Linked DNA regions of Mytilus edulis. The protein of the gene in region 4 purifies or fractionates together with the protein of the main gene of each other region. This does not show direct contact. Links are inferred from orthologs where the notes say so. Each region holds a gene or a part of one and is shown on either strand. Other genes may lie near its edges. The genes, in order: DNA-directed RNA polymerase I subunit RPA43-like, DNA-directed RNA polymerase III subunit RPC4-like, DNA-directed RNA polymerase III subunit RPC9-like and DNA-directed RNA polymerases I and III subunit RPAC1-like.

Region 1 (7,052 bases), on a different chromosome or scaffold from region 4:
TCCTTTATCTTTGGTCTTTTGCCTTGGTGCACCAAGACATTTAGCTATCACACCACTTACTACATCAGCAGTTACTCTGGAAATAAAATGTAAAATATTGTAAACCTTGTGTCACTATCGCACATTCATAGTTATGCTATAGTCTCCAAAAGAAAAATGCATCCAATTGTAAATAAAAATATCATTAAAACATAAACACTCCCAGGTAGGGACCAAAATCCCTATAACCAACTAATTTCCTTGACGCCTTCAACAATCATTGCAATTTTTTTTATATCATGTTAAATACAGTAGACAAAATATTATCCAGTTAATTTAAGCAAAGATTTTTGTGTCAATAACAGTGTAGATGTATTAGAATAAGAATATGGATCCTATTGAGTGCTAGGAACCGGATGTTCAGTGGTTGTTGTTTGTTGAAGTGATTCATAATTGTTTCTAGTTTTTTAAATAGATAAGACCATTACTTTAGGTGTGAGCCAAGGCTCCTTGTCGAAGACTGTATCTTGACCTATAATGGTTTACTTTTACAAATTGTGAATTGGATATTAAGAGTTGTCTCACTGGCACTCATACGACAAATTCTTATATCTATAGATTAAAATGCTCGAAGTAAAAGTCTAAGTCCTGAAATCATGCTAATATGTTTGCAAAGAAATTTTGTAAGATACTAATTTTACCAATCATATGATGAAACAAAATAATTTCTGAACTGAAATCTAGTATTTATGATATTTCAGATTTAGGGCCTTTGTCAACAAGACAGCTATCAAACATCACAATAAATCCATAGATGTCATGATACCATAGAATGGTGATATAAAACTAAATATTATCTTGTAGTTATACAAAAATGATCAAACCTGGATGCTACAGCAGCATTCTCTACAAATGCTAGAACAGCATCCAATGCTTTTTCTTGAGCCACAGCATTGGTATCAGTGACAAACTTCTTCATAAGGCCAGCATAGCGCTGGAATTCAGGAGACTTGGGATCAGTCTGTTGGCTAAATATCTTTGTAACTTCTTCATATCCTGCTAGACGTGCTTTCCATGTCTATAATACAAAAACAAATAAGTTAATTTCCTCCTGTAACACTAAAGCTTCCATTTACACTTCCCTTTCAATCCCAATTGGTAGGTAACTCAGGTCCAAGCCAGTTTGAATCCTTCATAAGGTAAAATGATACTAATAGTTTTGGCATTGCAGTCTACACCATTTAGTGTTAACCACTAGATGGATGTCCCAAGACTAATTGAATATCATTTTTAATAGTAAGTATTTGTAAATATTTGTTTATAAACATAAGAAAGTTGTCTGAATATTGGTCATCTGACTTGTAGTTGGAAAAGAATTTGGTGCAGACTGGCATTGCACTAACCTGCTAACATGACCAAGTTATGCTTTTCTAAGATTGCTTTTGATGTTGTTACTCTAACTCTGTTGAATGTGCACTAATTTTTGTTTTAGTTTGGGATAACATAAATTTTATATGTATATATAACATGCATAACCTACATGACCTATATCTTTGTAAAGTTTAATTTTACCTTATGCTGGCACTTTTCTTCAGCAGGAAGTTTCAGCCATTCACTGTCATCTCCCATTATGGATTAATAATACTCCTGGAAAATACAATGTCATGAATGTTTACACATGTTAGAAAAAAAATATTGCTTTGAAGGAATATACTGATATTTACATGTAATTAATATGATTCTATCGTAATTTGTAAATATTAAGATTTCAATGACACAACTCTGTGATTAATAATCAATATGTCAATAAGACTGACATATTCCAGAACATGAAATCAGGGAGGGTACATGTATTTCAATGCTAGGTGCTTTTACAGTTTATTTGTGCTTCATATTGATTTATTAAGTAAAATATTTTTTACAGTTTGTTCTGATGTTGTGATGCAACACCAGGCATGGGCAGGGTTGTGTGCTCACAAACATGTTTAACCTCACCACATTATTTATGTTTATACTGTCTCAAGGTTTGAGTCCTAAATTCAGTGGTTGTTGTTGGTTCATATTTCAAATTATTTGTTTTTCATAAATTGTACAGTATACCATGTACACATTAATATTATTATAATTTAAAGTTTTATTGTTTTTATCATATGTTAAGTAGTAAATACAGTAGTTTTGCATATTTGATAAATAGCCTGCTGTTTAATCCATATCGCGCAACTCTGATGCGCACCCTTTATCGCATACCCTTTATCGCATACCCTTTATCACACCTCTACCCTTTATCACACCCCTACTTTTTTTTTTTTTTTTTTTTTTTATATGAAGCATGTAAAGTCAGTTTTGTTTGTTTTTTTTTGCTTAAGAAAAATTTTCCTCAAAATAGGTCAATTTTTTGAATGACGTCATTGTTTGGTATGTGACGTCACGAACGTCAAGTTTTCATATTGTATTTGACGTCAAGAACGTCAAGTTTTCATATTGTATTTGACGTCACGAACGTCAAGTTTTCATATTTTTTGGCACACTAATTGCAACTATAAAAAATACAAAACACACAAATAAATACAATAATAAACATTTTTTTTTTAAACAACAGCACGCAAATTGTAAGGTAGCCCAGGTGCTTCGGATAAGTAATTGAGCAGTACTTTTGAAAGCCTTTGAAACAAGACAAAAGTAGAACTGAAGGTAACCCAGTGCTATGGATCAGAAAACAGTTCATATAATATAATACTATTCTGTTGAAACATATGATAAAGCGTATAATACATGGCAAAATCCGTATCACATGCCGTATCACCCTCGACCAATATCATCCCTCGGGCCTAAAGGCCCTTGGGCTGATATTGATGTCTCGGGATGATACGACATATGATACAGATTTTGCCATGTATTATTCTCTATGTATCGTTATGTCTAGGCCTTTCATGAATATAAAGTATGAGTTTTTTTTTTTTTCATTACTGTAGACTGTAGGGTTATAAGTTAACTATAATTGCTTTTATCTCTATCATTTAAACCTCAGGAATTTTAATTGCTTAGCTTGAGGCGAAACAAGGGAACAGCGCCTAAGGCTCAAAATGTTAAAACTAAAAAAAACTTCTCTCCTTCAGATTCATTTGAATCCCCCATGTCTAACCCAGCAAAGCAATGAGAATGCACAACGTGCAAGGCGTGAAAGCGAAAAAGTATAATAGCCTTTCAAGATGTCATAATTATTTGTCAGCCATTACTGGACATCACACAGGTTCCTGTAAATTTTTTATATCATAATAAAAATATCTGACGCCACAATGGAAAAGTAATTGTTGTATGACGTCAATTGTTCAAGCAATACAAATTTTCGGTTCAGCTGGGAATAGACCTTATTGCTATTCTCGACTGAACAGAGAATCTGTCTCTCTCAAACTATTTCCATTGTGGCATCAGATATTTTCTATTATAACGTAAAAAATTTACAAGAACTTTTGTGATGTCCAGTAATGGTGGACAAATACACCTTATCGCTATTCCCGGCTGACCCGTCCGCTTGAACTTTTGACGTCAACAACAATCACTTTTCCATTGTGGCGTCAGACATTTTGTTTTATGACGTCAAAATTTTACGGGAACCTGTGTGATTTCCAGCAATGGCGGACAAATAGCGATAAGGTGTATAGCAATAAGGTGTATAGACTATAGGCTATAGACTGTATGATAAGGCGGATAACAAATCAGGTCAACACCTCTCCAGGAGAAAATACAACATATATTGCTATTTGCAAATGTTGTGAGTTTATTTCATTTCATGATCTGACAGTAAACATATATTATGAATCACTGACATCAGATTATGACAGTTGGCAACTTTACAAGTAAGAAAAAAGGGGACCTGCAAAAACAAAAGGGGATATCAAAGCAATTTATCCTAACAGTTTCAAGTGGTGATTTGGTAGGGATCAAATCAAAAGCATACTTACATATATGCAATATAAATATTTAGTTATCTCATATGAGCGCTGGATTTGAATGGTAAATATTTCGGTCAACCGGAAGTTTCGTGGCGCCATCTATAAACTTGGATTAACTTATAATTTTACTTTAATTAGTTCAGAATAGTATTTATACATCAATATTCTTAGGGTTTTTTTTAACTCAAAAAAAATATTCAACATTGACCAATTTTTCACAAAGCCAAATTTTGTCACACACTTTCGCGAACTCTAGAAAAAAAAATGGCAGCTTCCATGGAACATACACGATTGACATTTTCCGAGGCAAAATCACTAATTTCAAAGTGTTCTTTTTCCCATCTTGAAGCAGTTTCATCTAAGCGACATATTGTTTTACCCCCGAAGTTTTTCAACAGTATTTTACAAGGAGTGAGAGAACATCTCAACTCAGAACTGCAGTTAGTTGCAAGCTGGTAAGAACTCGAAGTGGTTTGAATACCTCCCCCCTTTTTTTGAAAATTTTCTGTGGACCACTTTTATTTTTTGCAATGAAATTTTCTACAGTTACAACTTGTTTTTACCTTAAAAATTGAGACTGTAAAAATGGGAAAGAATTTACAGAGTCCAAATTACGAATGTAAACATGGCTGGGACTATACATCTTATTGCTAATCCCAGCTGACCCGGCCGCTTGAACTTTTGAGCATACATCAATCACTTTTCCATTGTTGCGTCAGATATATTGTTTTATGACGTCAAAATTTTACATGAACCTGTGTGATATGCAGTAATGGCGGACAAATAGCGATAAGGTGTATTATAAATTTATTATACCGTACTTAAGGGTCTGCAAACTGAACAATCTGTTGAGATTTCATTGCCCCAATAGCGGATTATTGATTTTTGTTTTGGTTGACAGCGTATTGTGTCATGTAGTAAATTAGCATTCGGTACATGTAAACAATAGATTTCGGCAAACAAGTCAGCATATATATAGAAAAACAGTTAAAATTGGTGGACTTGAAATAAAGAATAATTATTAAACAGGGATAGAACTTAAGACTTTGGCAATTGTAGCCCACAGCTTAAAGTTTGTAGCCCAAATATAGTCTAATTTACAAGAAAAGCAGAAATTTAAGCAGCCCACACTAAATTAGAGGGGCCATTGGCCTGTGGGCCTCTGCTAATTTCATACCCTGTAATAAGCTAATTAGTTTAATGCAAAAACCAGATATTGTTTACGAAAAAATATTAAGAAGTAGTCAATATAGTAATGTTGAAAATAAACATGATAAACCAGATATAGTCGAAATGCAGCACTTTACTTGACCGCTAAGATAACAACGTGTCAAAGGTTGTCAGATCATAAATAATCCTGATGAAAACAATATGTGTGCAATAAAAACAATGTTGACAATTTCAATTCCTAATTAATTCATATAACAAAAGTTACCCTGGTCTCATGAAAATATAGCCACATTGTTTTAAACTTTTGTGAACTTCGTGTTTACACCAAAATTTCAATATGGCTGTGCATCATCGGGCCTACTTTTGTAGTTGTAATTGTGGAACCTAGTCTATTTTCACGAAGTCATATGCTTAATGCCACCTGAAGACCATTACTAAGCAAAATTAACCCTGATTATAATAAAATATTGCACACTTAAAAAGGAGTAGGCAATTTTGTAGGAACAGTAAAATTTATTTAAGCCGTGCATGTGGGTTCCGGTTGTAATGAGAAAGAGATATTTTTCCACTTGTCACTTTAAAACGACAATAAAAATAGGCAAATCCAAACTATAACCTATGAATATGATTTCACAACAAACCCAACTTGGGTATCTCTTTTCAATCAAAAGTTATAAGAAATTTAATTAATCATCTCCTTTTTTCCACATCGTTCCCACGTCATTTTCATCCTGAAAATTTCAATCTTTTTGTTATTTCTTACACTTAAGGCGGATTTAGTGATTAATAACAACTGTTAAAGATCGAGGTAACTTTTATCATTATAGTAATCAAGTTGTTGGCATGACACGGGTTATGTTCTTCTCATATATGTTATGATCGTATGATACTAAACCCCTAACGGGAAGGATTGTGCCTGATGTTCATATGATGAAATCATAATCTTTCAGTCAGTTTAATTGAAGTCTGGAGCTGGCATGTCAGTTAACTGCTAGTAGTCTGTTGTTATTTATGTATTATTGTCATTTTGTTTATTTTCTTTGGTTACATCTTCTGACATCAGACTCGGACTTCTCTTGAACTGAATTTTAATGTGCGTATTGTTATGCGTTTACTTTTCTACATTGGCTAGAGGTATAGAGGGAGGGTTGAGATCTCACAAACATGTTTAACCCTGCCGCATTTTTGCGCCTGTCCCAAGTCAGGAGCCTCTGTCCTTTGTTAGTCTTGTATTATTTTAATTTTAGTTTCTTGTGTACAAGTTGGAAATTAGTATGGCATTCATTATCACTGAACTAGTATATATTTGTTTAGGGGCCAGTTGAAGGACGCCTCCAGGTGCGGGAATTTCTCGCTACATTGAAGACCTGTTGGTGACCTTCAGCTGTTGTTTTTTTCTATGGTCGGGTTGTTGTCTCTTTGGCACATTCCCCATTTCCATTCTCAATTTTATTATATTAAGGATTATCATTTCTAATAACTATAAAATAAAAAAAATAATTTCAGAAATTATAAGATCAAGGCACGCTTTCACTATCAAATCAATATGGCGTATCCATAAATAGCGCAGGTAAAGTCTCGTTCTAACGACTGTGATTTAGATATTCTGATTGGTGTAATGGTTTCCAGTCCTGTTAGTATGATAGTCCCAGAAACATGGTAAATCTTTCTTCGTATTTCCGAACTCAGTCACAACTTTAACTAATTTGAGGCAGGCATTACCTGTGAAAGGGGATGAAGTCTATGATTTTTTTTCAATTCAAACATAATTTTAACATGTTTAACTTTAAAATCTGTTTAAAAAAAAGAAACGGAAATACCTTGACTTTTCTGATTTTTGTTCTGTTGATTTGGATTTTAGTTGTAACATTATTTGACCTCATACTCAATGTAAACAAAGATATGAAATCATCAGGTAACGTTTTTTCATATCAAAGAACTATTAAAAAT
Region 2 (7,665 bases), on a different chromosome or scaffold from region 4:
TTCAGTTGCTACTTCAATGAGGTACAACTGATAACTCCTTTAATTTGTGTTTTCTACACAAGTATTAACAAATAAAACGATGACTCTGTGTTGGAGACAAGCAACCAAATAAATAAACAACGTGTTAATCAACTACATCATATTATATACCAAACAGTTTTCTGTATAATCATGAGGTTAAAAAATAATGTTATTCTTTTCAACAATCACAATTATAAATAAATGCAAAAATTCTAGAACATACAGCAGATTCACAAATGAACAGTTTAACTGCTTATATTTACTTGGACTGATCTGTTTTCTTATCCTTTTGCTCAGCTGGTTTCCGTACCGGGATTGTGGGTGCAAATACTTTCTTAGGAATTCCTCCAAGAGTTAAGTCTCTAGGTCCTTTTAAAGAGGGTAATCTGCAATTGAAGCAAAATGAACATTGTGAATGCTCAAATAGTAACATCAAGGATATTATTATAGTTTCAATATAGTTTAATACATGTATTGTAAACAAATAAAAAGATGGCAAAGAATATTAGGTCTCTATACAAAATGTAGGAATCTAATGTTCAGTAGTTGTCATTACTGATGTTGACATTTCACATTTTTTATTTAGATTAGACCGTTGGTTTCCCTGTTTGAATGGTTTTACGCTAGTAATTTTTTGGGGCCCTTTATAGCTTGTTGTTCGGTGTGAGCCAAGGCTCTGTGTTGAAGACAGTACCTGGACCTATAATGGTTTACTTTTATAAATTGTGACTTGGATGGAGAGTTGTCTCATTGGAAATCATACCATATCTTCTCATATCTACGTAAATTATTATTGGAGATTAATATAAAACAAACATTTTTTATAAGGTGTGGAAACCAATTTAACCCCTTAGTACTGTGTCAACATGGTCAAGCAATTTATATCTTACACATAGATATGCTAAAAGAAAATATGAAAATTAGCTAGTTAGATTATCTTTGTTTAAGTTTCATAAACAAAGCAATTTGTAAAAAATAAAAAAAACATGATGTTGAAATATATAGGCAGATTGGTAATTCAAGTGTCAAATTATCTATGTACTGGTATAATTCAAAGTGTGGGTGTTAAGGTCGAAGTTACTTACTGCAGGTTATGTGAAATTTACCAATAAACAAATGGCATTTTTACTGGACACTTCATATATTTGAAGCATTCTATAGTATCTAATGCTCACATTTAAATTGGTCATATGGTTTTATTTTGTGTGCAATTTAATTTTACCAGTCAAATAAAAACTAATTTAAAATGCACTTTAATAAATCAAATGTAAAAATATTTGTTTTAAATAAAGTGTGAAAATCTTCTATATACCCAAGAGAGTTATGATAATAATAATATAAACCTTACTACAAATCTGTTAAATAACATATATAATACCTTGCTCCTTTTCCTAATGGAGTTCCTCTTCTATCAATTAACCCTCTAGGTAGATCTGGTGTATCTCTGCCTTCAGCCATAACTCAACTCTGAAATGAAAAGGAAACCTGTTTTATAGAACTTTGTGACTTGAACAGCCATGATAGGCTTAGAATTCTTTTTAAAAGCAATTTCCAAGAAAGGTATATTTATTTGGATCGAAAAGATTGTTCGACATGCGTCATACAAAGTCGAGAAATTTAAAACTGTCAATTATCCCTAATGGGCCAAGAATTTATTATGGACAAAATAATTCACAAAACTCTGTAAACATGATAAAAGGAAGCCTTACTTATTGTCCCTTTTTTATATAGCAATTCACCAACTAAAACATGTAAAACATTAATACAAAATTATTTAACAACAAGAGGCTGTCACAACGACAGCAAACCGGATTTATTAACATTTATTTGTATCCTGCCAATATCACAAGAACCATAACTGATGAACGGTGAAAGTGAAAATCGTCAATATCAAATTTGACCTCCATTTTGTCATCAGTAACATCATATTAAAATTTGAAAAGCTTTGGTTGAACAGTTCATGAGTGGAAATGCCATTTTTCAATCTTTCAAGAACCATAACTCCTGAACAGTAAAAGTCAAAATCGTCATTATTGAACTTGACCTCCATTTTGTCATCAGTAACAACATATTAAAATTTGGGAATCTTTGGTTGAACAGTTCATGCGTAAATGCACGGACACGACTGGAAATGCCATTTTCCATTTTGTCATCAGTAACAACATATTAAAATTTGAAAAGCTTTGGTTGAACGGTTCATGAGTAAATGCACGGACAACATTTGGTTGCCGACCGCCCCGCCGTACATCCCCAAATCAATAACCGACATTTTTGTCACAAAAATCCGGTTAAAAAGTCTTTGAAAGGCCAGAGAAAACGAAGCTATACAGTGTTAAGGTATGAATATGATATCCCTATATTTATAGCAATACACATGATACACCAACTAAACATGAATACAAAATAATTCCACAAAAAGCCTTTGAGAGGCCAGAAAAAACAGAGCTACAGTGTAAAGGTGTGGGATGGGAAAATTAAAGGAGTGATCATGAATTGGAGTGAATATGATTTTTGGGAGAACAGATGCAGATTTGGGGGTTGGAGTCTGATGTCTCTTAATTTTAAAATAACATTACACAATTAAAAAAAATTCTATCTGAAATTTGCTTTAAACCTACCAGGTGACATGGGGTAATATTTTTAACATGACATTTTAACCTATGTAAGGAGGCGCCTTACAGGAGCAGACTGCAGAGTTACAATTTGATTCACTAAATTATAATAATTTTTACTTGAGAGGTTTCAAATAATTGAATATAAGTTGAGAACAGTGGCGGATCCAGAACTTTTCATAAGGGGGCTCGCTGACTGACCTAAGGGGGTCATAGTAAGTTGTATTAGTAACCTGAAACTTTCAAATGGTACCAAATAGTTATGATCTCTCTCTTAAGTCAAAAATATCGAATACAGGTGCAATCGGCCAATCCGTGGAGGGTATTTTTTGGAACTGGGAAAGAAGCGACTATTCACGCATCTGTTTACTTTTCACTGTTATGTTCCTCCTATTTGAGGAGCACTCCCGAAGGATAATTTTATCAGTTATTGAACGCATTGGCGGATCCAGGAGGAGGGTTCCGTGGGTTGGAACACCCTCTTTTTTTGGACGATCAATGCATTTGAATGGGGACATATAGTTTGAATCCCTCCCTTTGTCCTGTGTTTGGACCCCCTTTTAAAATGGCCGGATCCGCCCTTGGAACATATATGAAGATTTTCAAAAATAAGTTTAATATTAGTTTGTTCAATGTTGTGGCATTTAGAGTAATCCATTTGATGTCACTCATAAACCAGGTAACACCTTTTTATATAGGGTGTTTAAAGATTAAAATTTAAAGATATATTTTTATCTTTTTATTGTAAATTATATATTAATTGTACATGACGGGGGCCGAACAGAAGAAGTCTTTTTATTGATATATCATTGTGTATTGGATTAAACATTATTTGCGTATAAATATTATGTGGTGATGGATACTATTATATATGACTCCATTGGAGATGTGCCTACATTGGCAGAAACTATTTTAATACAGATCTATAGGCCATTGTTTGCAAGTGATATTCTTATGCTCTAACATTATTAGACATTGATAAGCATTAGAACTATTATGTAGATGCTTGAGTGCCATGTGTATAAATTATTTGGCTTTCTACACATTAATATCTTATTAAAAATATTAGTCACTTTCCACAATGAGAACCTTTATTACCTGTGAGCACAGCGAAAGAAAAAAAAAAATTCATTGTGTTAAGCAGTAACCATTTTCTCACAATGACTTTATTGAAAAGCAAACTTATGCTCAACGGAACAAAATACTGTAGAACTGGTTTACAAACTGATCATTCCTATCCCAAATTTTGTTTCAAGGTAAAATATTTTCTTTTAAGCATGTATTTCTTACACAGCTTTTGCTTAAAGACCTTGGTTCTTTTTTAAATGCATAGGGGCAAATTCAAGTAGAAAAAAGTTGACCCCAGGCTTAACTAGTGAGAAAGTCTTGATTGCCATGTCCCAAACAATCATACTAAACTGTGATATAACCTCAATTTTGTTTTTTTCAATTTTAATATGTTGAACTGTATTCCGGTTGTCTGCTATCATAACTGATCTATCCTTGCAGGAAACCAGACAATAAATACAACTAAGATCTGTAACAAATTTTGCGTCTACTTTAATTTTGATATTAGCTTTATCAGTTTTCGTTACTTGAGGTTTACTTGAAACAGTTAGCTTGATTATTTTGCTCTCAAGTTTACTCTCTCTTTTGAATTCCTGTCTGATCATTTCTGCCTTATACTCCTCTTCTTCCATTACATCATGACCCCTGTGAACTTTAGTCAGACACTTCAGACAGATAAATTGTTCACAAGTTTGACAAAACAAACAACAGACCTGTCCATTATGTTTTTGACATTTAATGTCACTGAGTTTGAAATATTCCGACGATTCTTGACACAGCCCTACATCTTTTATATTTATAATTCTGTGATCACTGACACTTTTAATTTTTAGATGAAATTTTTCTTTACATCTATTACACAACAATAATGAACAATCCAGACATTTCCATTCAATCTTCGTTTCTACTTCACAAAACTGACATCTTATAGGTATCTGTATGGAAAGCCAACGGGGTCAAAATTCGTGATTCGTAACTTGTCAATTTGTAATTTGTAACTATGTAATTTCTAAATTCTTAATGCATAAATCGTCAGTTTGTAACTTGTACATTTGTAATTTCAAAATTAAATTTGAAATTCAAAAATGTGAGAAAAAAAATACCAAATTTCTTTGACTCCTTATTGTCTGATGACTTTCAAAAGTTCACTCTGATGTTGTTTACATGCTTATCTGTGTTGAAAAGCTGTTTCATTGATAAACCAGTATGTGGAAACTTTGGAGGTCCAATGGCCAGTGAGATACTTTCATGTTCTCTTTGCCTCATGATGAATATAAATGAACTTGTATTTGTATCCAGATGTATAGCTATTGAGGTCTATTGACAATCATTCAAAAGTAGACATAAATGTCATCCAAATTGACCTTTTCTGCTATGTCAGCTAGAAAAGTATATTCAGTAATTTTTGGAATCCATAGTTGTTGCTTCATGACATTTATAGCTTGTAGGTACCACAAACTGTCTAGACAACTAACAATTGCAAATGTTTTTCTTCAATAAATAATTTCCTTCTTTTTTTGTCAGTATTTAATGTTTTGCGGGTGTACTGCAACTGTTCTCCTTTCATAAAATCTCAGGCAGGCAGAACTACTTTGGTTCTAATGATTAAACTGGGTCCTAAATGTGTGTGTGAAAATTTCATAAATTTATCAAAAACCAATGGCATTTTCATTTTCTTATACCTTGAGCTCCAAGGGTATCACTTATCTGGCCATGTAAAATTTAGCTAAACAACAGGTTAAAAAAATCCTAAAAGCCCCCAAAAAATCAAGTTGTCCTCCCTTCAGTAGTAGTCAAATTTGACTACGAGTGAAATGATTTGTCGATCTAATTTGCTTGTTTTCATATCTATCATATTATTGCTTCCATTCATTAATGTTTTCAAATGAAATAAATAAGATAAATGAATAATGTGTCAATAGGACACAGTTCCCTCTGCTTGTAAATACACGGCAAGTTCTGCAATTTTTTTTATTTACAAAAGCGACACAACCCAAGAACAGCAAAGTGACCCCACTCAAATTCAAACTTGATCTGTGTTTGGTGGTAATAAGCTTTATGTATAATTTTTATGACATTTGGATGGAGCAAACTCAAGTTAGAGTGGGGGGAAGACAAATTTAGCAAAAAAAAATCATTTTCACTGTGGCGGGGGCATAAAAATACGAAAAAAATGCATAGAAATAACCAATAAAGAACAATAAATTAATAAGTTTGATGGATTTTAAACAGTATATGTTGACTAGATAATTATTTGGATTCAACCACTTTGTTCTATTTTTAGCCAAAGTAGAAGTGTGAGAAAGTTAAAAAAAAAAAGTATATTAGTAAGTTGTCTTTAATGCCATTTATCGTTTTGCTGAATGTTGTAAAGCATCTATATGAATAGATTTAAAAGTAAAAGGTCTTACTTTCAAAAATATTGTATGCATGTTTGTTTATAGTATGCATTTAGTCACATCTACCTTTATTTACTGAATATAAAAAGAACAGAGGAAAATATATTTGTAATTTTTCTCATTGTTGAAGGCCCTACAGTTGCCTATAATTGCTTACATTGACTTCATTTGAACTTTTGTGAATAGTTGTCCCATTGGCAATCATACCACATCTCCTTATTTTTATATCTTCAAAGGCATATTAAAAATGTGGATAAGTTGGCCCAAAAAGTTAATGTTATATCTGATGATGCATGATGAATAAAACAGGATAATTGTCAATAAAATCATTTAATATAAATAAACATTTTGTTCATATCTTCATCTTGGTCCTTTGTCAACTTGGAAACAGCCATTCTATAATGTAATGATTCTTTTTACCTGTAAATAAAATTGAAAAATAAATACTTCATAAAAACAATTTGACTTTTTGTCATCAAAGTGGTGACATTATGACACGATCTTATCATGTACCTATGGTGTTAACCTCACTTCATCATTTGGAAATAGTATAAACTGACCATTGGCCAATACAAAATGTTTTCTTTGTAAAGCAGGTTGTTTCAACCCTTCCAGAGCACCTGACACACTCCAAGCTTTGGTGGCAGTATCATGTGTCTGCCTTTGTTTTGGGTTTTTTCTGTGTGCCTTGTTCAGTGAAGTTCTTGACATTTTTTTCAACTGTAATTATTTGCTATGTATTATCTTTTTACCATTTGATATATGGATGTGTCTTTTTTGCAAGAAAACTCCAACATATGCTATTATTATATTTACCTGCTGATAGTGATTACCAAATATACACATACTCGGACTTCTTTTGAATTTGTTTTACTGTGCATATTGCTGTGTGTTTGTCTTTCCTACATTGGCTAGAGGTATACCAGGAGGGTTGAGATCTCAAAAGACATTTTAACCCAGCAGCATTGTTTTGCCTGTCCCAAGTAAGTAGTCTCTGGCCTTTGTTAGTCTTGATTTTTGATCTTAGTTCATTTATATATTTCAGAGTTTAGGCTGACGTCAATTAACACTTAACTAGAACACATTTTTGTTTAGGACAAGCTGAAGCACACCTCTGGGTGCGGGATTTTCTCACTGTGTTGAAGACCCACTGGGGTCCTTTGGCTGTTTTCTGTTTTTTGGTTGAGTTGTTGTCTCTGTGACATATTCCCAATTTCCTAATTTTACATGTACACATACATTATACTCTGATTTTTGCTGTTAAAAGTCTTTCTACAATAACATTTCCAAGAATTTAAATATTTTTCACATGTGTAATAAACAGGGTTTGATGTAATGGGCAATCAAAGTATTTATTAAAACCAATGTAATAACCTTCCATATTAATTTCATTTTCAACCTACCTATCCTCAACAAAGTGATATTATTGGCTAGGATATGAGTCCCTGGTAAAAGTACTGTGTCAGGATTAGAGACACGTCCATGGTTAACATATACACCTCCATCTGTTATAATTCTATTGGCATCAACTAGAAAAATAATTTAAATCTTCTGATTTATGATTA
Region 3 (7,315 bases), on a different chromosome or scaffold from region 4:
ACGGCGGCCATGTTTTTTGACGGATCAAAAATCAAAGCACACACTTTGTGCAGGATAATCTAAGGAACAACCATGCTAAGTTTTAACCAAATCCATTCAGTAGTTTCAGAGGAGAAGATTTTTTAAAGTTAGCAAATATGATGAACAAATTGTGAAAAATTGTCATTAAAGGACAATAACCCCTTAAGGGGTCAATTGACAATTTTGGTCAAATTGACTTATTTGTAGATCTTACTTTGCTGATCTTTTTTGCTGTTTACAGTTTATCTTTATCTATAATAATATTCAAGATAATGACCAAAAACTACAAAATTTCCTTAAAATTACCAATTAAGTGGCAGCAACCCAACAATGGTTTGTTTGATTCATCTGAAAATTTCAGGGTTGATAGATCTTGACCTAATGAACATTTTTACCCCATGTCAGATTTGCTCTAAATGCTTTCGTTTTTGAGATATAAGCCAAAAACTGCATTTGACCCCTATGTTCTATTTTAAGTAACGGCGGCCATGTTTTTTGACAGATCAAAAATCAAAGCCCACACTTTGTGCAGGATAATCTAAGGAACAATCATGCTAAGTTTTAACCAAATCCATTCAGTAGTTTCAGAGGAGAAGATTTTTTAAAGTTAGCAAATATGATGAACAAATTGTGAAAAATTGTCATTAAAGGACAATAACCCCTTAAGGGGTCAATTGACAATTTTGGTCATATTAACTTATTTGTAGATCTTACTTTGCTGATCTTTTTTGCTGTTTACAGTTTATCTTTATCTATAATAATATTCAAGATAATGACCAAAAACTGCAAAATTTCCTTAAAATTACCAATTAAGTGGCAGCAACCCAACAATGGTTTGTTTGATTCATCTGACAATTTCAGGGCTGATAGATCTTGACCTAATGAACATTTTTACCCCATGTCAGATTTGCTCTAAATGCTTTCGTTTTTGAGATATAAGCCAAAAACTGCATTTGACCCCTATGTTCTATTTTAAGTAACGGCGGCCATGTTTTTTGACGGATCAAAAATCGAAGCGCACATTTTGTGCAGGATATACTAAGGAACAATCATGTTCAGTTTCATTCAAATCCATTCAGTAGTTTCAGAGGAGAAGTTGTTTGAAAAATTGTTAACGACGACGACGACGGACGCCAAGTGATGAGAAAAGCTCACATGGCCTTTTAGGCCAGGTGAGCTAAAAATGCATTTTATAGCAGTGTTTATGTGAATTATAAATTTAAATGTCTATGCAATCATGTTGGTAAATAAACACCCTACAGGGTCAAGTCATTAACCCTTAGGGTCAAGTCATTAACCCTTATAGAAATGAAAAGGCTGAATATTGTTATATAAACATATCAATGTCCTAATCTGAATAATTACTTATTAATTAGTGATGTACATATAAATTATACAAAAGTAATTTTTCTTACATTTTCTTGTTAATTTTTAATGTAAGATATACATGTATACATTTGAAAAATGAATTCTTTGAATTTATGTTAACAGTTTGACCAATCTAGACGAGAGGGTGATTTAATAGACTTTCAGAAGAGAATTATTGATAAAGGCCTTTTCCATTAATATTTGTGTAATGTGTGACTACATATTTACTTGTCTCATAGTTGCAAGAATAGTACTTTTTAAATGTATTATCACTCTCAAACAAGTAAACTAATTTATAAATCAAAATGTGTTTATAAATATCTTAAATGTATTGCAATTGAGTTTAAATTTCAGGCAAGTATTTTATATTACCCAGTATTGCCCAGTATTACCCATTAAAACCCAGTAAAACCCGGGTTTTCCCAGTATTTCCCACTGGGCAGGGCAATACTCATAAAACCCGGGTTTTTGCCAACCCTGAAAAGTATTATTAAATTTGTTTGTAAGATGTTGTTTCGATGGGTCTTTGCTTATTTTTGTCATAAATTGTAACTCATAGCAATACAAAAACAGGTCCGCAATAAGTGGTGCACAGTTAGTCCCCATTGAAATTCCGATAATCTGACGATATACGGAATGTAAAGAATATTTTTGTTAACAAACATCAATAAATATATTCTATTAGTCTATGCATATCAAAGGGAAACTAATGAATTGGTTGCAGCAATACAAATATTTGGCAAATATTTCAACACACTTAACCCTCTTGCTGCCAGAGGGACACATATGTCCAGACCGACTGTGCCATAGGGACATATATGTCCATGTTCTAATTTATGCAAGCTTCTCATCATTGATGAAATTCTTTAAAAATTAAACAAGAGTGCACACACAGAAATGTCTCGCCTTCTTTACTAATCATTGATATTATGTTGATACTCCTAAATCTAAAGCTTTATTACAACCGTCACATAGACTTAACATGAACCATGAAAATGAGGTCAAGGTCAGTTGAACCATATGCCAGGCAGACATGTACAGCTAACAATGCTTCCATACAACAAATATAGTTGACCTATTGCTTATAGTTTAAGAAAATAGACCAAAACACAAAAACTTAACACTGAGCAATGAACCTTGAAAACCAGGTCAAGGTCAAATAAAACCTGCACGACTGACATATAGATCATAAAATATTTCCATACACAAAATATAGTTGACCTATGACATATAGTATTAGATAAAAAGACCAAAACTCAAAAACTTAACTTTGACCACTAAACCATGAAAATGAGGTCAAGGTCAGATGACATCTGCCCGCTAGACATGTACACCTTACAATCATTCCATACAACAAATATAGTAGACCTATTGCATAAAGTATGAGAAAAACAGACCGAAACACAAAAACTTAACTATAACCGCTGAACCATGAAAATGAGGTCAAGGTCAGATGACACCTGCCAGTTGGACATGTATACCTTACAGTCCTTCCATACACTGAATATACTAGACCTATTGCTTATAGTATCTGAGATATGGACTTGACCACCAAAACTTAACCTTGTTCACTGATCCATGAAATGAGGTTGAGGTCAAGTGAAAACTGTCTGACGGGCATGAGGACCTTGCAAGGTACGCACATACTAAATATAGTTATCCTATTACTTACAGTAAGAGAGAATTTAACATTGCAAAAAATCTGAACTTTTTTTTCAAGTGGTCACTGAACCATGAAAATGAGGTCAAGGACAATGGACATGTGACTGACGGAAACTTCGTAACATGAGGCATCTATATACAAAATATGAAGCATCCAGGCCTTCCACCTTCTAAAATATATAGCTTTTAAGAAGTGAGCTAACACCGCTGCCGCCGCCGCCGGATCACTATCCCTATGTCGAGCTTTCTGCAACACAAGTTGCAGGCTCGACAAAAATTAAAAAGTGCAATATGTTTCTGCAATGGCTCTCAAATGTAATGATCATTACGACATGACTTCATATATCGAATGACGTCATTGTTTGGCATGTCACATCACAAACATGATCATCGAGCAGTCATGTTTCCTGGCACATGAAATGCAACACTGAAAAACATATGGCAGCAAGAGGGTTAAACATATTCTGTTCAGATAATAAACATTATGCACTAGACAGCAAAAAAGGAAAACAAATAAAATCAGGGAAGTGGACCCAGGGGGAACATGTATCAGGGCGAACAGGTACTAGGGCAAAAGCGAATCAGGGCAAACCTGAATCTAATCGAACATGAATCATGGTGAACGGACCTGGATTCAGTCATCGCTGAAGAGTTACATGAACATGTATATTTAGTGAAATTGTTATGGAGGATCTGTAAATGAGCTATAGAGGCAGGTGACCGCTGAAACAAGGTGACAATTAAAGCAGGTTTAACTGTACAGTTAAGGACGATCTGGTAAATAATATTTGGTAGAATAATAATTTTACAGATGACATGATTCTAATGTTTTTGCTACTTTTAAAAATATTAGATAAAAATTTTGGTGTTAGGCATGTTTTTACCGTAATTTAAAAAATCAGCGTTAATGCATTTTCGAGTAAAATAGAAGAAACTGGTTAACTAATTTGCTGTCAGCATCATCTGACGTCACCAATCGATTTACAGTGAAATTCTAACAAGGAAATCGAGTTTCGCGTTAATTACATCGTATTCCGGATAATTGCTATTAAATTGCATAGAATCAATATTTCCCAACAAAAATTGTAAAAATACATTTATTCATAAATTATAACGCGAGAATATTAAAAAAAAATATGAAGACAGCATTGTTATTGTATTTTTAAGAACAATTGCAAAAGTAAAATGCGTAAAATATTTCGTTGTTTCTCCGTTAATATTTTTAAGATCGATATTTAATTTTCCATATCCGACTTCCGGTCTTTTTACACCTGAATTTGCAGTAAAAACAAATGAAATGTTTAGATTCTGTAAATGAAGTCTGTGTGTCAATATTAGATAAAAATGATTGTTGTCAGTAAAACCACCATACACGGATTATTAAATTTTGTAAGCATCATTTTTGATTAATCAAACATCCTTTAATTAAATGTAAAAATGAGTTACCTAAACGTGTTACAACTCGATTTTTTTAGATTCATTTTACAAAATTCATTTAGTTGTTCAGATTTATACACATTTCAGATTTATAATGAGAGTTTTGTCATATGACGCCGTGGGCCTCTGTGGCAGAGTGTTCTAAGTAGTTACTACTGTAATCGCTAGCCAGTCAACACCAAGGTTGAATGAACTTACAGGTCCGTAACTAGCCTCTTATAATAGTGAAGCAAAATATATTCACCTAGCATAGCGATGTGGAAAAATTTTGGCGAGGGGTCTGGGGGCCACTCAAGGCCGGAAGAAGCTCTGAAAAAAAAACCCTCAAAATCGTGCATTCTGAGGGTTTCCCAGACTTTTTCTTACATTAAAACGAAATCAATTTTTAGCTATTTTTTTTTTAACAATATTCTTGTCTCAATACATAGATTCAGTGTAATTTAAGACTTGGGTTTTACGTGGACAGCTTTAAAGGTAGACCGATATGTAGGATAAAGCAAAAATCGTAATTCTCATTATAATTAAAATCGGATCTGTCTGTTCTTGTCTTGTATTGTGCTTTGTTTACGACTAGATTTAAATATAGTGACAGTGCAGTATTATACTTTAAGTACTAGTTCTGCTTAAGTCGACACTAAGGACCATCTTGACCTTGTTTGAAGTTACTAATGATTCTTTTATTGTTGAAGACCCCCCAGCAACTATCAAGATGAAGAGCAGGAATAAATACTTTGACCATTGATCATTTGTATTTTTCTCTGCATTGACTTTGTGTTAGATTAGGTCCCGTGCAAGTTTACTACACATTTCTTTATTTTTTGTTAAAGGGTCTGAACACGACTTATTAAATGCAAGTTTAATCCTTCAATGTATGAAAAGGTCATACGGTAAAACATTGATGTTTTTTTAGTAGATGATTTGATACCGGAAAATTGGTGGTCTTACTTTAATTTATACCTTGTCAGCTATCTAGTTTTATCTACAAAAAAAAAAAACAGTTTTGTATTCTTTGAAATCAAGTTCAATTCTTCATGCAGAAACGACCATTTTTTTTCTGTGTCCAGTAGCATCGTGTATTCTCAAAATATTTCCTTGCACAATGTCTGGGCATCAGTGGACATGCAACATTGCAAAACCACACTTTTACAAATGAAAAGCAACAATCATACTATCGTCATAAAGTAGGACAATAAATGAACAAAAGACAAACCCAGGACACAGTACAAACAATAGACCATCAAATCTGAAAACTAATAGTAAAATAGAAACATGGATCACGAAAAACATGCAGGTGCGACATCAGAGAGTGAAGAGAACTTGCTTCAGATTGCAAGACGCTTTCTATGAAAACAACTTGATATGAAGACAATCTTTTGTTTCAGTTTTGTTTTTTTAAATTTCCAACATGAGGCATTTGCCTCAATGTAGTTACGGCCCTGACTTATACATTAGTGCCCACCTTAAACTTGCTGTGAGTTGAGAGTTTTTGCTGTTTGTTGAATGGTCACAATGTCACCTTATGATCAACAATAAAAGCACAGTTTTTATGCCTTTTGTGCTTTTTGCTGTGCAGGCCAATCATTTTCACTTTGATTTAATTGTTTTATATCTGTCATTTCGCTCCTTTTATAGCTGACTAGTAGGTATTTGTTTAACTCAGTGTTTAAAGCTGTACATGTGGTCTATAGTTGTTAAATTTTTGAGTCATTTGGTCTCATGTGGAGAGTTTTCTCATTGACAATTATGCTCTATCTTATACCAATATCTTTTCTTTTCTAATATACTGTGACAGGACAACTAGTACTTCGTCCATTAGAACATTTGGTAGATACTAAGTCAGCTGTAAGCGATTGAGCTAAGGAAGTTCTTCTTTAGCTCAGTTGGTTAACACACTGCCTAGTAACAGAGGTCCTAGTTTCGCGTCCAGGTGGAGACGAGCAATTTTGTAATGAAATTCATTCTCTCTGGTTACAATACAATATATTTTAGATTGACTTCTGTCATAAATTATGATAAACAAACAATTAAAGTTAAAGAGTCAGTTGGGAAGTTCAAAATAACCATAATCATGATAGTAGGACCAAAAATAAAAACAATTTAGGATTAGCACTTTAATTTTCTATACATTGAAATAAGAACTTTGTTTCTAAATAAACCTCTTTTTTTTAATTTTAAGTTACTAGCTGTGATTGTGTTGCTTGCCCAGGTATGTATACGTTTAAGCTGCTAGTAGATTTATTTTAATTTTTTTAATTTTCAGTTACTAGCTGTGATTGTGTTGCTTGCCTGGGTATATGTTATAGCTGCTGGTAGATTTATATCCATCAGGACATTAGAAAAGCAGTTCCCAACCTCATAGATTATAAATCATACTATAGTAAAATGGAGGTGAAAAATGACAACTCTGCTATACTGAGTAATTATGAAGTTCTACAACTCCTGTCTGACATTCACACTGGAAGAGGACAAATCAAACCAAACAAGCACCAGAAAAACCTTGCAACTATTACCTATGAAACTGTTAAATATCTAGAAAATACACCTTGCAAAAATCAAAGTCCAGAACTTATTCAAAACATCATGACAGATTTGCAAGCATTTAATTTAACAAAAGCAGAAAAACTACAAATTTTGAATCAGTGCCCAACATCAGCTGTTGAAATTCAATTGATTATAGAAGAAAGTGAAGAACGTTTAACAGAAGACCAGATTTATCAGCTGTTAGAAATCATAACAAAATATAACGTAACAAAAGAAGCATCTAACGCTGGAGATGAAGAGATGGAAGACGAGGACGATTCTGTGGAACAAACTTAACTCATTTACA
Region 4 (7,395 bases):
TGGGGTTTAACCTGCTATTTATTACTTACTTCTGAAAGAAGAATCCTTCTAAATGCATTGGCTAAAGAGGCATCACTAGTGAGATTTAGGGTTTAACCTGCTATTTTTTACTTACTTCTGAAAGAAGAATCCTTCTAAATACATTGGCTGTAGAAGCATAACTCCTAACGTGTCTACACAAGTGTGAGTTTGGGTGTAACTTGCTATATTTTACTTACTTCTGAAAGAAGAATCCTTCTAAATGCATTGGCTATAGAAGCATTACTAGTGTGAGTTTGTAACCTGCTATTTTTTACTTACTTCTGAAAGAAGAATCCTTCTAAATGCATTGGCTATAGAAGCATCTACTCCTACCATATCAAATTCAAGTTCATCATGGCTCATCTTTACCATATCAATTCTGAACTTCTAAAAAAGTATAATTGGTTTACAACTATAACCTTGTTCTAACAAACTACAGTAAAACCTGTATAAACCGGCCGGCTACGGGACTATGAAAAAGGGCCGGTTTGGGCAGTGAGCCGGTTTATTCAGGTTTCCGTATCGACCGGAAGTTAATGACTTGTGACGTCCGATAGTTTGCATATAAAAGTTCTCTTTGATAGTTAAGAATATCTGATCAATTAAAATATTTTCACTTCGTTTTCCATTGTTTACATTTGCATCCTAATGCTCGCGTTGTTTGGATTGTGAGACGAGAGTTTCGATTTACTTCCATGATCATTTATTTGAAATGTTGGAATGGCCGATCAAAAAGCCAGAATATTATCAAACGTAATCTCATCACTATTGAAACGTTGTCGTACAGTTTACTATACCCATTGATTGTTGTCATCTGGGTGGTTTTCATTATCAAGGTCATTTGTTTAGGGGTTCACAGCAGGGAACCCAGGGTTTCGACATCACGTTGTAAATTTCTTATGCTGCGATTTAAATTTGTTTATCCAAGTTAACGTTACAAAACGTAAGTTAAATCCGAGATATATTCGGTGTGTCTTGTCGTTTAATTGACACGTTTATAATGTTTTAATAAATAATACAGCTCACTACTGTACGATTGAAAGTTCACTTCACAGTTTAACACCTGACTAATTGATTAATTATCCTGAAAAGTCATATTGTATAAAGTAAACAATTATGTTTTGATTGCATATCGATCAGTGAAATTAATTAGACAAACCGGTTTTGACAGGTAATAATTAATGTAATTAAGAGTATTGGGACTTCATAATTAGACCGGAATTCGGAATACACAGGGTCCGGTTTACAAAGGGTATTTTAACAAAGACTTTGAAGGAAAAAAAATGGGACTTTCATTTTCGGCCGGAATGTACAGGAAGCCGGTTTATTCAGGGTCCGGTTTAATCAGGTTTGACTGTACATGTAAAATGCATTGTTTCATTAGTTTAATGTCTTTGCTTTACTATAATTTACTTCTTTTTTTTTTTAAATACTTTGCAACTTATATTTGTTGCTTGTTTTTAATTTTACGGTGTACTGTTATTCCACTGTCCAAGTTTAGTGGTGGGTTGGCGCCTTAAAACTAGTTCAACTTTAACTGCCACATTGTATGTGCCTGTCCCAAACTGTAATTAAGTGGTTGATGTTTTTTGCTAAATATCATATTTGTATTTCATTATTATTTTGTAAATAAATCAGGCAGTAAGTTGTCTCTTTGGAATTGCATTACATTAGTCATTTTGAGGCTTTTTATAGCTGACTATGAGGTGTGGGTTTCAATTATTGTTGAAGGCCGGACAGTAACCTATACAAATCTTACCTTTTCAAATTTTTTCTGACTCCAAGAGTCATCATAATCTTCATAATTTCCAGGAAAGTCAGAGCTATGTGTCTACAAATATAATTCATGAGTTATGTTTTTATTACATATTTAGAATAAGTATCTTAACATAAATTACACACCCACAACCTATCAGGTCTGTGACTGAATTTATTTTGAGTATTCATATGGTCATTAACTCATTTGATAAAGTCATGCTGATTATAAAGGTGCACACAGTTTTCTCTGCTTTCAAAATCTTTGTTTGAACCTGTCCTGGTTTTCTTACTACAACCAGAGACTACTTGTAGTTATATATTTTTTGGCCGATGATTGAATTTCATAGTGTTATTCCCTGTATAATGACAAAGTTCAGGTGTGATTATGACTTGTGTACAATGTATATAGCGAATTTTAATTCCAAATACACCATTTATTCAACAAATTATGGTCATTTGCATAAATCATCACTGTTTTCTCGTAGTCACGTGATAATCTTTGAAAATGAAAGGCAAATGGAAAAATCGATGGGTCTCTGTGAAAACTGTTAAAATATGGAAAAATAAAAGTTGGCAGGTAGGTGAAACTTACATAAATGAAAAGATAAATGAAAAATGAACAGATTGATGCCTGATTTATTTAATTCCAAGGCCGTCAGTCGGCACCAGAAGCGACGAAGCAGCGCATCTATTTTGGGTGGGCAAATATCCACTTTTTGATATGGGACGAGCTCTGACGTCCCACGGCCCCAGCTTGTCTGACAAAACAGCCGTTGGACCTCAGAGTAATCTCGGACTAGATGAACGTGAATAGTGCAGGGATACAGGCGACCCCTCTATCAGATTATTATATCTGGTAAATGACCTCATAAAGACACGTATAATTGACGAGTTTTATCCAGTGACGGATGAACTCGAAAGTGGTCTATTGTTTCAACATATATTATAAGCTTTAGGAACAGGATCAGGACATGTATCTTTTCCTCTTTTTATACAGAAATTATAAGACTCAAAATTAACCAGAAGCTTACAACCTTTACTATAGTATACTAGTTCCATATAAATGCTGAAAAAACATACATTTTCTACAGCATGCTCCCGTAGAGTAACTTTCCTCCTGACGTCATCTATTAGGTCTGTCATGTCAGACTTGGGTATTTTTTCTAAGCTACATGCATGTTTGTAAACAGCTCCATGTGCTGGTCCTCCTTTATAAAGATCATCTGAACGCTTTGAAGCAACGTAAAACTCCTTGGTGCAAAACGTTCTCCTGACGTTGAATGTGGGAGGTTAATCATTTCCGGTATACGAAATTATTCAGAAATGGTAACACAGCCTCTTTTTATTATATTTTAAGGCATTTATTCATGATTGAACACACATTATTTGGCCGTAACACTTTCTCAGTTGATAATAACTTGCAATAGTGCTAGGTGTATTCGGAGTTGAGATCCACATTTTGATCTGAGTGTTGTTGACACTGTCACTTTTGACAGCAATGCTAAAAAAATTTGAATGTATAACTTACAATACAATTTCTGAGTGGTGGAATTTAATATTTTGTGGGAGTTCTTGGCCTATTGATGCTTTTCCTCTGCTTCTTCTTAAAAAAAACGGGAGTCGTTACTTTCTGCAGAAAGTCTGAAAGAATAAAGTTCTAACTTCTGTTGCCCGGGCTACTTCTGTCTGACAGGCGCACACAGTTTTAACCCTCTTGCTGCCGGGGGGACACATGTGTCCACACCGACTGTGCTGGAGGGACACATATGTCCATGTTTTAACTTATGCTAGCTTCTCATCATTACTGTACCTCTTTCAAAATAAAAGACTGAAACTTAAAAAGTGTAATATGTTTCTACAATGACTCTCAAATGTAACGGTCATTACAGCATGACATCATATATCAAATGACATCATTGTTTGGCATGTCACATTGTCGAGCGGTCATATTTTCTGGCATATGAATGCAACCCTGAAAAACATCTGGCAGCAAAAGGGTTAAGTAAGTTATGTTAGTGCATAAAAGGTAGCACAATACAAAGATTTTTCATCCCCAATCAGACATCTTTAAACTGATGTAATTCCACTCATCTTTCTTTAAATGTTATAAATGAGGTACCAAAAGAAAGAAGAAGGATTATTCTTTCAAATTGTGATAATTTCATTAAGACATATCTTCATAGCATCCTAAAAAAAATTATAGATTCTTGCACAACACAGTTTGACCTCCAAAACTGTGTCTCAGATTTTTCCTATTGTATTTCATTCTCTCATAAATCTTCAATGAAGTTTGCAACATCAATTCATTAGAGACCACTTAGTTCAATTGAGTATAAAATTTGTTCTATTGATGATTTTGGAAATCTGAGACACAGTTTTGGAGGTCAAGCTGTGTTGTACAAGAATCTATAAAATATTTTGGGATGCTATGAAAAACAAAGACGCTAAATTCATTCAAGTGTGGACATCAAAATATAGCGACTAATTACATAATAATTAATTATGTAATAGTTATGTCATAATGAAATTATCACAATTTGAAAGATTGATCTTTCTTCTTTCTTTTGGTACTTCATTTATAAAATATAAAGAAGGATGAAATGAATTACATCAGTTTAAAGTTGTCTGATTGGGAGTGAAAAAATCTTTGTATTGTGCTACCTTAAATTGGTATCTGTCTGTTCACTTACAAACACATTCAGACCCTACATGTGCGCTAATTGAGCCTTGGGTCTGTTACACCAAATTCATGTCGCACATTTACTGGTTGGATAGACCACTTTCAAGTTATGTCCACCACTTGAAAAAATCATCAATTATGCACACCATTTTGACGATTGCTGAAATTTAACATATTAAAAGGACATGTTACATGTACATGTATGTACCTATATATTTTGAAGCTGTATTTTAGAGTTATGTGTATTCTGAATTATTCAAGAGGCAATTTCACAAAGGCACAGGGAATCTATGACATCTGACTTCCACTTCAAAGGTTCATAAGATACTTTTATCTTTACTGGTCTTGTGAAAAATAACACCAGGATGTTGACCAATGTCCAGCAGTCTGCTCAAGTAATTTAATGAAGCTATTATATTAAACTTTTGCTGCTATTTAACTTTATGGTATTAACTGTAAATTTACAATACATTTTTTCTAGATTCGTTTTATCCTGATACAGAACCGGGCTGGCAAAACGCGTCTGGCTAAGTGGTATATGCACTTTGATGATGATGAAAAACAGAAACTAATTGAAGAAGTGCATGCTGTTGTTACTGTCCGTGATGCTAAACACACTAATTTTGTAGAGGTACATTGTATGCTGTGTGATACTAGCACATGTACAATACCCATCATATGAATAAACAAACAATTATTTTTGAAGGGTCTCTTGTACTAAAAGATCAGTGTGATGCAATATAATTCTTGAAAAACAATGGACACAGTAAGTTTCAAGTGGTGTATCTTAAAAATGCTGAAACATCAACTTGAAACTTAGCACTTATTACCAGTTGAAATACATGAAAAACATCACCACAAGTTACTAAATGACACAGAAATTAACAACTATCATGACTATTCAACATTGATTGCCCATACTGGGAAGTCAGCCATAAAAGACCCTGAAATGACAAATGTAAAAAAAATTAAAGAAGAAAACTAAAGGCCAAAATGAATGTACAAAATAATGAATGCTTACCTGTAGTTTATGTTCAAGCAATCCAAAGATTGTTTTTTTTTTGTATTTTAAAGGGTTATTTGTAATAGATATACCTGTGTATAATAATATGTAATTTTTTTTGCAGTTTAGGAATTTTAAGATTGTGTACAGAAGATATGCTGGTTTATATTTCTGTATCTGTGTTGATGTAAACGACAACAATCTTGCATACTTAGAGGCAATACACAATTTTGTAGAAGTGCTTAATGAATATTTCCATAATGTCTGTGAATTAGATCTTGTATTCAACTTTTATAAGGTAAAGTATTTATATTGTGTCTCAACATAAAACCTTTATTTTGTGTTCATAATTATACAAGTTGAATAAAAGGATCTTAATAGATATATGAATGACAGTATTCCTTTTGAAGTTGGTGGTTTTCTCTTGGGTCCCGGCTTCCTCAACCAATAAAGCTTGTCACCATGACTTAGCCAAGTGTGCTGTAAGTGATATTAAAGACCAACAATCAATCTATCAATCTTATAAAATTCATGATGTTGTAACTGACAGAACAAGTCATGCAATTACAGAATTTCCATTAAGAAGTTTTAACTATTTATTTTCTATATTATGTGTCCTCTTTGTTGAGCCTCAACATTTTAAGTAATTGGTTTCTATGGTTTTCATACAATTTATAAGGGTCTGTACAGTGAAATCAGGAAAACAAATGTTCTAATCTATCATATCTTTATAGAAAAAAAAGAAGAAAAAAAAACCAACAACAAAAAGCAAGAAAGGAGAAAAACTTATGAACCATATCAACAAACGACAACCACTGAACAACAGGTTCCTGACTTAGGACAGGTGCAAACAAATGCTGCAGTTTAAATGTTTTAAAATCCCAGTTTGTCAACCATATTGAGGCCCTGTCCTAGGTCATGGTCCTGCAGCTTTGATTTAATAAGATTGTAGCTATCTATAAGATTATTCCTGAATTTTCTGCTGACAGACAAGACATATCTTTGTGTCAACAGTTTATTTAATGGGAAACTTCGATCTTCAGTTATATTTATTTTGTTTTATTTTTAGGTTTACAGTGTAGTGGATGAGATGTTTTTAGCAGGAGAAATTCGAGAGACAAGTCAAACAAAAGTTTTAAAACAACTTCTTATGTTATCATCATTAGAGTAAATACTATGTTATAGGACTTAATAGACCAAAGTGTTGTAGACAGATGTCATTTATTGTGTATGATTTTATTACTATGAACTTTGTTGGTTATTTTTAACAGAAATGTTACAATAATTGGCTATTTAGATAAAGATGTCATAATCCATATGTAAAACAACAAGTAATGTTTCTGAGGACAGTATCTGATTGCAAGGTGATTTTTGCCTAAAAAAAACAGAAAAAAGCTAGAAGTGATTAGAGTGGAAAGTGTAGAACTTTTTTTATTTCGTTGTATTATATAAAAGTTATCATTATATTATCAAAATGTTGTTTTGTTGAGACATGAAAATAATGAGAACGTTAATAGATATTGTTCATATGAATGATACATTCCAAATTCACCTAGTTATTGTTAATGTAAATACATGATATTATTGCATCCTCCAGCATGTTTTCGTGTTTCATGGTTACTGGAGAACTACATATATATATATATATATACAACTCGTCTAAACATCAACCCAACAATGTTAGATCGGTTAATTTGCTTTTGCAAATTTTTTTATCATCCCTCGCCGGGATTTGAACCCATGCTACTGAGATATCGTGTAGAGTTGTCACTGACTCAGACGTACTTATATATATATACCTATCAGAAAGGGAAGGAAATTTAGATATACAAAATCTAATTGCAGCTAAGAAAAATTATTATAATAGCATTTTGGTAAGACCCTAATGAAACTGAAGAGGCCTCTGGATCAGTTGCATAGATGAGGAGGTGTA

Evidence for each region.
Region 1: the proteins of DNA-directed RNA polymerases I and III subunit RPAC1-like (region 4) and DNA-directed RNA polymerase I subunit RPA43-like purify together in Homo sapiens (affinity purification with mass spectrometry; 3 studies listed by BioGRID and IntAct, counting the BioPlex papers as one, with this or other methods). This does not show direct contact. The link is inferred for Mytilus edulis from reciprocal best matches to the Homo sapiens genes POLR1C and POLR1F.
Region 2: the proteins of DNA-directed RNA polymerases I and III subunit RPAC1-like (region 4) and DNA-directed RNA polymerase III subunit RPC4-like purify together in Homo sapiens (affinity purification with mass spectrometry; 6 studies listed by BioGRID and IntAct, counting the BioPlex papers as one, with this or other methods). This does not show direct contact. The link is inferred for Mytilus edulis from reciprocal best matches to the Homo sapiens genes POLR1C and POLR3D.
Region 3: the proteins of DNA-directed RNA polymerases I and III subunit RPAC1-like (region 4) and DNA-directed RNA polymerase III subunit RPC9-like purify together in Homo sapiens (affinity purification with mass spectrometry; 5 studies listed by BioGRID and IntAct, counting the BioPlex papers as one, with this or other methods). This does not show direct contact. The link is inferred for Mytilus edulis from reciprocal best matches to the Homo sapiens genes POLR1C and CRCP.

What each region holds. Positions count from the first base shown.
Region 1 is NC_092350.1:28,387,092-28,394,143, forward strand, and holds the start of DNA-directed RNA polymerase I subunit RPA43-like, read left to right. Parts: upstream 1-4,029; 5' UTR 4,030-4,196; coding exon 4,197-4,387; intron 4,388-7,052. Other genes in the region: cytoskeleton-associated protein 5-A-like, read right to left, coding at 1-76, 864-1,057, 1,552-1,608. UniProt on the Homo sapiens protein: Component of RNA polymerase I (Pol I), a DNA-dependent RNA polymerase which synthesizes ribosomal RNA precursors using the four ribonucleoside triphosphates as substrates.
Region 2 is NC_092352.1:32,783,645-32,791,309, forward strand, and holds the start of DNA-directed RNA polymerase III subunit RPC4-like, read right to left. Parts: upstream 3,012-7,665; 5' UTR 2,867-3,011; intron 1,492-2,866; exon of another isoform or gene 1,489-1,491; 5' UTR 1,480-1,488; coding exon 1,400-1,479; intron 408-1,399; coding exon 285-407; intron 1-284. Other genes in the region: tyrosine--tRNA ligase, mitochondrial-like, read right to left, coding at 6,477-6,520, 7,504-7,629. UniProt on the Homo sapiens protein: DNA-dependent RNA polymerase catalyzes the transcription of DNA into RNA using the four ribonucleoside triphosphates as substrates.
Region 3 is NC_092344.1:6,443,860-6,451,174, reverse strand, and holds the start of DNA-directed RNA polymerase III subunit RPC9-like, read left to right. Parts: upstream 1-4,296; 5' UTR 4,297-4,440; intron 4,441-6,748; 5' UTR 6,749-6,870; coding exon 6,871-7,305; 3' UTR 7,306-7,315. UniProt on the Homo sapiens protein: DNA-dependent RNA polymerase catalyzes the transcription of DNA into RNA using the four ribonucleoside triphosphates as substrates.
Region 4 is NC_092346.1:91,463,932-91,471,326, forward strand, and holds the start of DNA-directed RNA polymerases I and III subunit RPAC1-like, read right to left. Parts: upstream 3,020-7,395; 5' UTR 2,923-3,019; coding exon 2,860-2,922; intron 1,853-2,859; coding exon 1,781-1,852; intron 409-1,780; coding exon 301-408; intron 1-300. Other genes in the region: AP-2 complex subunit sigma, read left to right, coding at 3,103-3,105, 4,941-5,090, 5,587-5,760, 6,532-6,633. UniProt on the Homo sapiens protein: DNA-dependent RNA polymerase catalyzes the transcription of DNA into RNA using the four ribonucleoside triphosphates as substrates.